2 linked regions of the Arabidopsis thaliana genome follow. The protein of the gene in region 2 interacts with the protein of the main gene of each other region in a pairwise test. Each region holds a gene or a part of one and is shown on either strand. Other genes may lie near its edges.

Region 1 (4,720 bases), on a different chromosome or scaffold from region 2:
TCTAGAAGAAAACCGCCCGCTTTTAGCTTAAATGAATGACCTTATTTTGTCGTAAAAAAAAAAAAAGAAAAGAAAATGAACTATATCCTACATTTACATTCTCTTTGGTTGGTCATAATGATTGGTGTGATTAATCATGAAAATTACGACAATGATTATAGCTTTTACATTTTGAAAATTTATATGGGGATCGTAATAATTCATAGAAAACATGGGAAAAAGTGTCTTAGATCTCAGTTTTCTTCTATTCTCATAATGTGAAATAATGGTGTCTTGCAAATATTGTTATGTATCATTATGGTTCATAATTGGAGAATCCATTTGAAACGAAATTTCTCATAGCCACACACTTATCAATAACTGGTTCAGTTCAATTCACATGATTTCTAGTTTAAAACTAACAAATATGAATAAGTTATTTGATAATTTTATACTTAACTAGCTAATAGTATATTTTCGTGTGTGTTTATGCTAGAGAATAAATGCTTACAGAAATTTGAACTTGGTGCTGAATAGTGAATACATATGTAGAGTGAAGGAATCCCAATAAAGAGACTGTGAAATATTGTCTGTAAGCATAGCTGTGCCTAAGATTAGTGAGATCATCGGCGGTGTTTAGAAAAAATCTCAACTCATATAATAACCATCATCATCATCCTCCCAAAACAGTAAAGAAAAAGAGCTAAAAACCAAAATATCAATCTTAGTTCTTTCTTTATCACAGTGACACAGTGGGTGCAATCTACGATGGTTGTTCCTATAAAATGGTGTAAAACCTTTGGTTCAACCCAAATCAGTTTGGTTTTTCCGATGGAATTTTTGGCACGGTTTTGGCTCGGTTGAAATTGGGTTTACTCGAATTACATGTTAGACCAACAACAAACGACACAGTTTTTAGAAACAAAAGTACTTGAAACTTTCAAACGACGAGTTTAACATTGCACAAATTCAAACTAGACTACTCTTACTCCTGCCCAAAGCCATCACGGTTCTCTTGTGGCCACCCAAAACTTTGACCGTCTCTACCCCGGTTAACCTGCTGGGTCGTGTGAGGCGGTGCCATTCCGGGATTCCATGATGGAGGAGGATACGATCCTTGGAAATTCAGATTCGTCATTGGTGAAGGCGGGGGATACCCGAGCAATGAACTTTGTTCTGATCCGCCGCTCTCTGTTCTTGTCATCTCGTACTGAGCACCGTTAAAGAATTGTTGAGATGATCCACTCTCTGTTGTTGGATACGAAGGAAAACCAAACTGCTGTGGTAAACCCGGGTTTTGATTCATTGGAACGGGCAAGCTGGGCGGTTGCATAAGATTCATAGGCTGGGGGTAGTCTGGGAACCGGATTCCTGGTTTAGGACTAGCGGTTTCGAATCCAGGAGGGCGAGAGTTATCGCTATCTGGAGGGTAATTCTGGACTTGACTAAATCCAGACTGTGACTTTGCAAATGACGCCGACCTGTTTAGTTCACGGGATTGTTGCAGCTGGGATCTTAAAGGAGCTCGCAAGGTGGATTCTGAAGCTGAAGACTGCTGCATTGTGCTCTGAACATCTGACTGGTTACCATCTTCTTTCTCTGCATCGGCTTGTAATAGGCTTCCATGGAGGTCATGGACATGGGCTTCAAAGTCAAGTTTCTTCAGGAAAGACCTAAGACAATGAGGAGCTGCACAGATGAAGATCCCTTCCATCATCTTGATTGTTTGAATCTTCTGAATCCGCTCATCACATCTGTGCAGTAATCACACACACAAGAGACAACAAGATTTCAGTCTGATAATCGCTACGCCTAGTAAATCTTAAAATGTCTCTGTAGATTACTAAACAATCTAGAATATCTCTATCAAAGCTTCTAATGAAATTCGAAGCCTAGTTCAAACTATGATAATCCTGCGTCTCTGTAGATTACCAAACAATCTAAAGTATCTCTATCAAAGCTTCTAATGAAATTCGATGAGAGTTAAAGATGGTTACAGATAGCAGATGGAATCACTGCGAGCACATTCAAGGCAAAAGGCATGATCACAAGGAATCTGCAAAACCAAAACAAAACAAAAAAAGTTTCAATCACATATAGAAGAAGAGCCCCCTTAAAAAAACTCTTTAAGGCAAATCAATATAGCCATAAACCAATGAAGGAAGCGAAGTTTTTTACCAGACGACCATAGATTGCAATCGGAAAATCGCAACGAACGCAGAAGTGAACTCTCTCGCCTAGCTGACGGCGAGAACGACGACCGACGGGCTTGATTACGGTGGTGGGAGTCACGGAACCGATTCCTTTCGCAACAGGAAGATCGGCGAGGACGAGATGGTCGGGACAGGCTACAGTAACCGTCTCCGTCGGAGAAGGCCTCGCACCATTTCCAGTTTCCGTCGGGGAATCCCTCCGAAGACGAATTTGAAGCATTGTCGCTGTAAAAGTTACATGAACGGAACCCTAAGAAATACAAATCAAAAGAAAGAATAGGAATCAAAAGCTTCTCTAGTTACCAAGTTAAATCGGAGATTGAGATTTCAGATCTCTCTCTCTACTTCAGTTCTTCTCAAGAATCACGCCGGAGCCGAAAACGGCGAAGCAAATTTTGTTTTTGTGGGCAACGGAGGAGAATAGAAGCCTTCAAGTCTTCTGGCTGAGAAAGAGGGTTTCCATTAATTAACTTCAAGTCTTATTTTTTTCTGATCAACACTTCATATGTCTTCAACATTCCCAATTACTATATACCAACTGGATCTTATTATAAACTTTTGTATATGGATGCATTTTTTTTGGTAATGGTTGTATATTTCAGTCTTATCGTACTAGGAAATTCCAGATTTTAGGCTTGTTGCTTTATAAACTCAAAAAGATGTGCAAGTTTTTGCCTGCATTTAAAAAACCCTATTAAGATGAATTTCCATAAAACAATAATTTGATTAGTCTTACAAAGAAAGATAAGGCTTGGAAGAAAACATGAGGAATGTAATGTAGATTTTGCGGAATTCTAAAAACATAATCAACAATCGACTTAGAGTTCATTCTCACTAGCTTTCTATTTCTTCAAGTCTCTTCCTTCACTTTCTTTGAAACCGTGTCCCATAAATCAGTCTCCTCCTTCAGTTTCTTAGCAATCAAATTCCATAATGTCGTGCTCAAAGCAGAGGATGTCACCAAGGAAGCTCTCAACAAATCCAAAGCCTAATTCAAAATCAAGTGTCAGTCAAGTTCCTTTCAAGAATACAGGATCAAAAAGGGTATACAGAAACATACCTCTGCATTGCTGATACTAATTACTTGCACCTCTAGATCGTCTGCGTGACTCTGCAACTTCTTTAGTAAACAAACTGTGGAGCAGGAGTTCATAGATGTAATGGTCAGATCATCTAATACAGTACACTTTGTCGCTTTCTTCAAGAACCCCTGAGCAGACTTATCGCTGCCACGGGATTTGGGATCCTTCAAATCCACCCGAACGATTCTGTCTTTGCGGTAATAAGTAGTTCGATTACCGTTTGTAGTCAAACCATAGTTCATTTGCCTGTAATCGTAGAGCCTGTAACGGTAGTACACCGGAGGTTGTTGAGTGATAATACCAGGCAGTTGCATCTGGAAATTATAGAAAGACGGAAGTGCGCATGTGGAAGTTGACATTTGAGTCTCCTCATTTAAGTCCCTGAAGGTTCTACACATGTTTCCTATGCAACCTAAGGAGATACTGCTGCCAGAGATTTCCCATGCAGATTCAAGCGGGACAGCAATAAAAGAGAAAAGAAGCTCAACAAATTCCTCTCCGCATTCAACAAATAAAATCTTCATGTCCTGCTTCCTCACAAATGCTTTCAAAGTTACTACCTTTTCAGGTTCTGCTTCATCTTCTTTTTTCTCCAAACATGGACTTTGCGATTTGTAAAACTTCGTCGCACCTTGTGTAATCTTCTTGTTCAAGAAAATGTCCTTTAAGGGAGCATTTGAGGAGAATATACATCCCAGCAGAGTCAGTACCTAGTCCAAGATTCAGATATAGTAAGAGAGAACTAATAAAGTAATGATAACACAAACGCTTGAAGAATAAACTAACTAACATACCTCTTTCACACCAATATCAAGAAGCCTTTCACCGAGCTTACCAACATCAGCACAACCTAAGGATTTGAGCTTATTCAAGACAAGTTCAGTGGACTTGACTGACACTTCCAAGTCATCGGTTAAGACGAATGAACACCTACCGCTGACAAATACTCCATTATCATCATCTTGAAACCGGCCTAAATCTTGTTCCTCGTTTTCTAACTGAATCTCCTCGTTCATAAATTTTCCGCAACGACATTTAGAGGTGCTGAAATTACTGTACAAGCCGCAGTAACTTGAGCACTTAAAACACTTGATGTCCTCAGTAGGGTTTATGTTGAGCTTAAGCCTTTTGCACTGGAGGTCTTTCACACTCTTCGGATACACAAGCATCTGCTTACAAGCTTCAGTCTCAAAACAATCACTGCCCATGTCCACAACACTTCTATAGAGATTGTTAAAACAGCCCAGAGTTACTGGCTCAGATTTTCGATGATTCTCAAGCAATCTGACAATGGTTCCCATTGGAAGTGTCAGAAGGCTGAAGAGTACATCAACAAAATCCCTACAAGCTTCAGCCAAAACAACCTTGTTTTTCTCTTCATCAACAATAAGTCTCAAAGAAAACTTAGGCTCCTCACTACTTTTAGCCATTAGCGTAATAGATGAA
Region 2 (4,316 bases):
CGCCAAGCCGAGGCTTCTATTAGCCTTTTGCTTGAACCAGCGGTTGGAGGATTTTCCTCATCATGGTTTATGTCCTGAATAGTAATTGTGACTGTGTTGTGGAATGATTCAAGCCTTCCAGATCCAATCATGCCAGGATCTAACTCACACCGGCAAACAGGACAAGTCTTGTGTAACTCAAACCAAAGATCAATGCAATTTGAATGAAAGGGATGACGACAAACCGTTATGAGCCTAACTGTATCTTCATCTGAAAACTCTGACAAGCAAATAGCGCATTCCGTCCCATGATTTTTCTTAGTTGCAGATGAATAGTGGAATACAGGAAAGGACCGGATGATAAACGGGTCGAGGCCAGTATTTTCAGGCGGAGTGGCCACATGGATTAGGTCACCGTAAGGTGTTCGTTGAAGGTTCCAAGTAGTAAATAATCGATTCAGAAGAAACTGCCATAAGAAAAGAGAGAAGAATCCGGCGAAAATTACAAAGAGAAGAACACCGGTCAAAACTACGGTGACAGGCATGGAAACACTAGGGAAAACAGCAGTAGCTGGTATTGAATCTATTGATGTTGTTGACGACATTTGAAGGTTGATGATTAGAGAAACCCCCAGATTCTACCAGTTTCGTAGATTGCTTGGGATATAAGAAAGGTTGTTCTTACAAATCCTTGTGAGAAAAGGAGTATTATTGTTCAAGTTAATAGAGAGAAATGAGGAGAATAAAGTGGCTATGTCTGAGAGACAGAAGTGGCTTTGCTTACCATTTTGAGCGAGTCTTTTGTGACAGTTAAAATCGTTGTCTTAATAATAAATCATTTTACTGTTAAAAATAACTCAAAACGAAAAATTAATATTGACCATGGAAATAAAGAAAAAGGTTTAGGTAGCAATGATGATCCGGTTTACAAGTACGCAACATTATTTAGTTCGGTTTGATCTTCTGCAAGATTAGATTTAGGATTGACAAAGAGAATAAACAAAAAGATGAGAGTTTTTGTCTTTGTTGAGTGAGTCACAATCTACAACCACAGAAGGGAGGAAGCTAATATGTCCACACAGTTACAAGTCTAAAAGAAGCTATACCTTGATCAACAAATCAGTGAAAATGCAGTGACTTTACTCAATATCGTCGATCCAATCACCATAAACACGACTGATTTTATCTGGTCCTTTCCATTTCCGTTGAGTTCTGACTCCGTTGGGTTTCTGCGTAACAGCACTAGATGTCCGTTGGGATGAGACTCCAGGAGAAACAAGGCTAGTCACTGTGTCTACTTGTCCTCTCTGCTTTGTGTCCAAAGTGGCGGATGTTCCGATCTTACATTCTCCTTCAACGAGTCCTCCGCCAAATGTATGCAACTCTGCAAAAGATACCATAAAGACTCAAACTTTTAGCTAGCGACGATTGAAACTTTCTGCATTTCCATAGCCATTAGGAACAAGCAGATCAAGAATTCTTTCCAATCAGAAACCAATTGACATCATCACGTAATGGCAATGTAGCAATAGGAAACATTTCAACAATCTCACTCGATCCACTTTAAGTCCATTAATAGACATTGTCACCAATCCATTCACCAAGCACGATTAACTAATTGGCACCCACAGTCCATATAAAGAATCCTCAAGGAAACCAATACCATTACATATACAATTCAACAGACTTAACTTAAGCTAATAAAGATAGTTCTAGTGTTCAAAGATGATCTCTTAGTCCAGAGAATTAGCATCCATTAACCTCTAGTGACACTCTAAACTCACAGTTCATCAAGCAACACCGATTAAAACCCATTTCTAAACTACATTCGTTGGGGTTACTAATAGATGAAAAAGGCCGTAGCTTTACCTGAAGGTCCATGAGCAAAATGGCAGTGAGAACCAAAAGGACAATAGCCAGTAGTCTGCCACTTATTGCAAATCCTTGTCTTCCAATTCGGAGACTTGAGAGTCTGAGCAACATTGCCACGAGGGCCTAAACTAACCGCAAAGCTTTCTCTGTTTCTTGAAGCCTCTGTCACCGTCTCCTGCCAATTGGGCGGCGGCGGCGGAGGAAGACGGAGCTCCTCCGCGCTGTGAGCAAAGTGGCAAGAGCTCGCGGAGTAGGGACAAGTTCCGGCGCGGAATTTGAAGCAAAGCTTCGTCTTGAAGAACGATTTCCCGATCTCGGAGGAGGAGGAAGATCGTGTCTTCTTGCTCGGAGACTCTGCGCCATCAGAGTTTATGGCCCAGACACGGCTGTAATCATCCTCAGTGGCCCAGACGGAACTGTCGCCGGAATTTGGAAAACAATTCTCAGGCGGAGGGTCGTGGGTGATTCTCACGTGAACTGCATCACTGCCGTAATCTCGCCGATGACTCATCACGTCGACCAAGAAACCCTAAACCCTAACCCAGGAGTAAAAGCAAGAGGAAGTGGAAAGAGATAGAGAGAGAAAGAGTAGATGAAGAGGAAGTGGAAAGTAAAGTAGAGTAAAGCCACTCAAAATCGTACTAGTAGTAGCATTTATATAAGGATCAAAATGTGATTAGCTATAAAATCAATAATGGTCACAGATTAAATAAAAGAAAGAAGTTTAACTAATGTTGATAATTAAGACGAGTAAAACAAAAGTTGTTAGGCAGAGAGGATTTCTATTTTTAAGAGCTTCACTTGCTCTACTAGTTTAGCAAGTTGTGTAAATTCACTTCACACTCTCTGAATCGATTCTACCATATGAAACCGCGCTTGTACATTTCAAGAATCCAACCCAAACAAGTTTTACAATGCTGACTAATCTCGATCACCACTTCTTTCAATTCTCAAAGAAAACTCAATTGTCTCTTTGAATTCCACATTGCTATCACTTGCACAACTCGATACTCCATCATGGCGATTTCGTAAATAGATGAAACTAACTTACACGGGTATAAATTATAACCGGAGACGCCAACTCTTACTTACTTGTAAAACAAGCTACTGGAGAGAAGCTTGATTCTTGAAACTTATCCCTCATAAATGTCCCAGCAAAGCCACCGATGATTATAAATTATCACCTCACCTCATTGAACACGGAAAGGGGATCCTAGCAGCTCACCCATTGTGGAAGAAATTTTCGATCAGAGCACATCAACATCCAGGCCCTCCATCATCTCACGATGAATCATTATGATATCAACACATAAGATTTTTGTTGATTTACTAAATTGGTATACATCTAGTGTTTGGTAATATATAGGCTAGAGTTAAGTATCTTTAATGATACAACTTCCATTGCTTGCTTCATTATCTCATCCGCATGCAACCTATTACTTCTGACAAGCCTCTCAAGGAAGAACCCATTGTCCAGGGAAGAGCTGCATCAGAGTCTTTCCCAGAATCCAGTCCATCTCAGAACTTGACAAGGATGCTTCTTTTGCAATGATAGTCACAGCTTCTTTAGCTTCTTTATATCCACATTCAAGAACAACAAATGGGAAGTCACTGCAGCAGATGGAAAACAGCCAATCCGTATATGATCATGTATTGTTAGTAGATATAGAAGGTTTTTTGTGGTTTTTAGTCGGGAAAGCGAGGTAAATAAGTATGTTTACCTGCCCCACATGACACGATTTGCCCCAAAATGGGACACAAGTTGAGATAGGAGAGGCGATAGGTCCTGATACGGGAAGCCGGTTCTTGAGATCCTGAATAGAGCACTGAATTTCACATATACCTGCTTGTTACAATATTCTTCCCTCAGACTCGTATAATCTATAATCTATGAGAATTCAGATTCTAAAAGTAATTTTTTTTTCTTTTTCACCTGTGGAAATCTAGACAGCTTCATGAGTTGAGAATAAGCAAGCTTTGCCTCACCACTTCTGCAGGTTGTTGAAACCATGAATATTAGTACTACATTCTATAGGAATTTCAGGGGACGGGATTATTTTTCACAAAAAGCAAAGAACAGCTCACTCTGGTACTTTGCAGAATCCAGCGTGATCTAGTAAAACAGTTGTCTTTGGAAATTCTGTGCAAAGTTCCTCAATTTCTGCAATGTGAAGATCTAGACCCTGAATAAAGAAAACAAGATTCTTAACGAAAGAACTTCGCGTAAACCACACAACTTTGGAGACCACAAAGGTGAAAATACTACCAGACCTTCATGCACATGAAGCCAACAGGCACACAAAGCTCCCCTGCTTTAGAGAACAAGGCTTTACCAACAGCATTTGTCATCTGTGTTGAGTCATTGACAATCAACAGAATACGGTGGAAACTTGATCTAAGGTCATTGGAATGGTTAAACTGTTACCTTCTGACCCGATGGCCACAAGTAGGGATTAAACCGAACA

The links.
Region 1: the proteins of AT2G35430 (region 2) and AT5G01160 interact in binary tests that used the Arabidopsis thaliana proteins (3 or more experiments, as listed by UniProt).

Annotation. Positions count from the first base shown.
Region 1 is NC_003076.8:51,972-56,691, reverse strand, and holds AT5G01160 (RING/U-box superfamily protein), read right to left. Parts: upstream 2,837-4,720; 5' UTR 2,496-2,836; exon of another isoform or gene 2,418-2,495; 5' UTR 2,413-2,417; coding exon 2,158-2,412; intron 2,036-2,157; coding exon 1,977-2,035; intron 1,734-1,976; coding exon 965-1,733; 3' UTR 640-964; downstream 1-639. Other genes in the region: AT5G01150 (hypothetical protein (DUF674)), read right to left, coding at 3,043-3,180, 3,253-3,984, 4,069-4,704. UniProt on the Arabidopsis thaliana protein: Probable E3 ubiquitin-protein ligase which is a subunit of the N6-methyltransferase complex, a multiprotein complex that mediates N6-methyladenosine (m6A) methylation at the 5'-[AG]GAC-3' consensus sites of some mRNAs.
Region 2 is NC_003071.7:14,899,896-14,904,211, forward strand, and holds AT2G35430 (Zinc finger C-x8-C-x5-C-x3-H type family protein), read right to left. Parts: upstream 2,491-4,316; 5' UTR 2,363-2,490; coding exon 1,849-2,362; intron 1,364-1,848; coding exon 1,119-1,363; 3' UTR 809-1,118; downstream 1-808. Other genes in the region: AT2G35420 (RING/U-box superfamily protein), read right to left, coding at 1-584; AT2G35450 (catalytic/ hydrolase), read right to left, coding at 3,306-3,462, 3,573-3,694, 3,785-3,842, 3,937-4,034, 4,123-4,200, 4,277-4,316.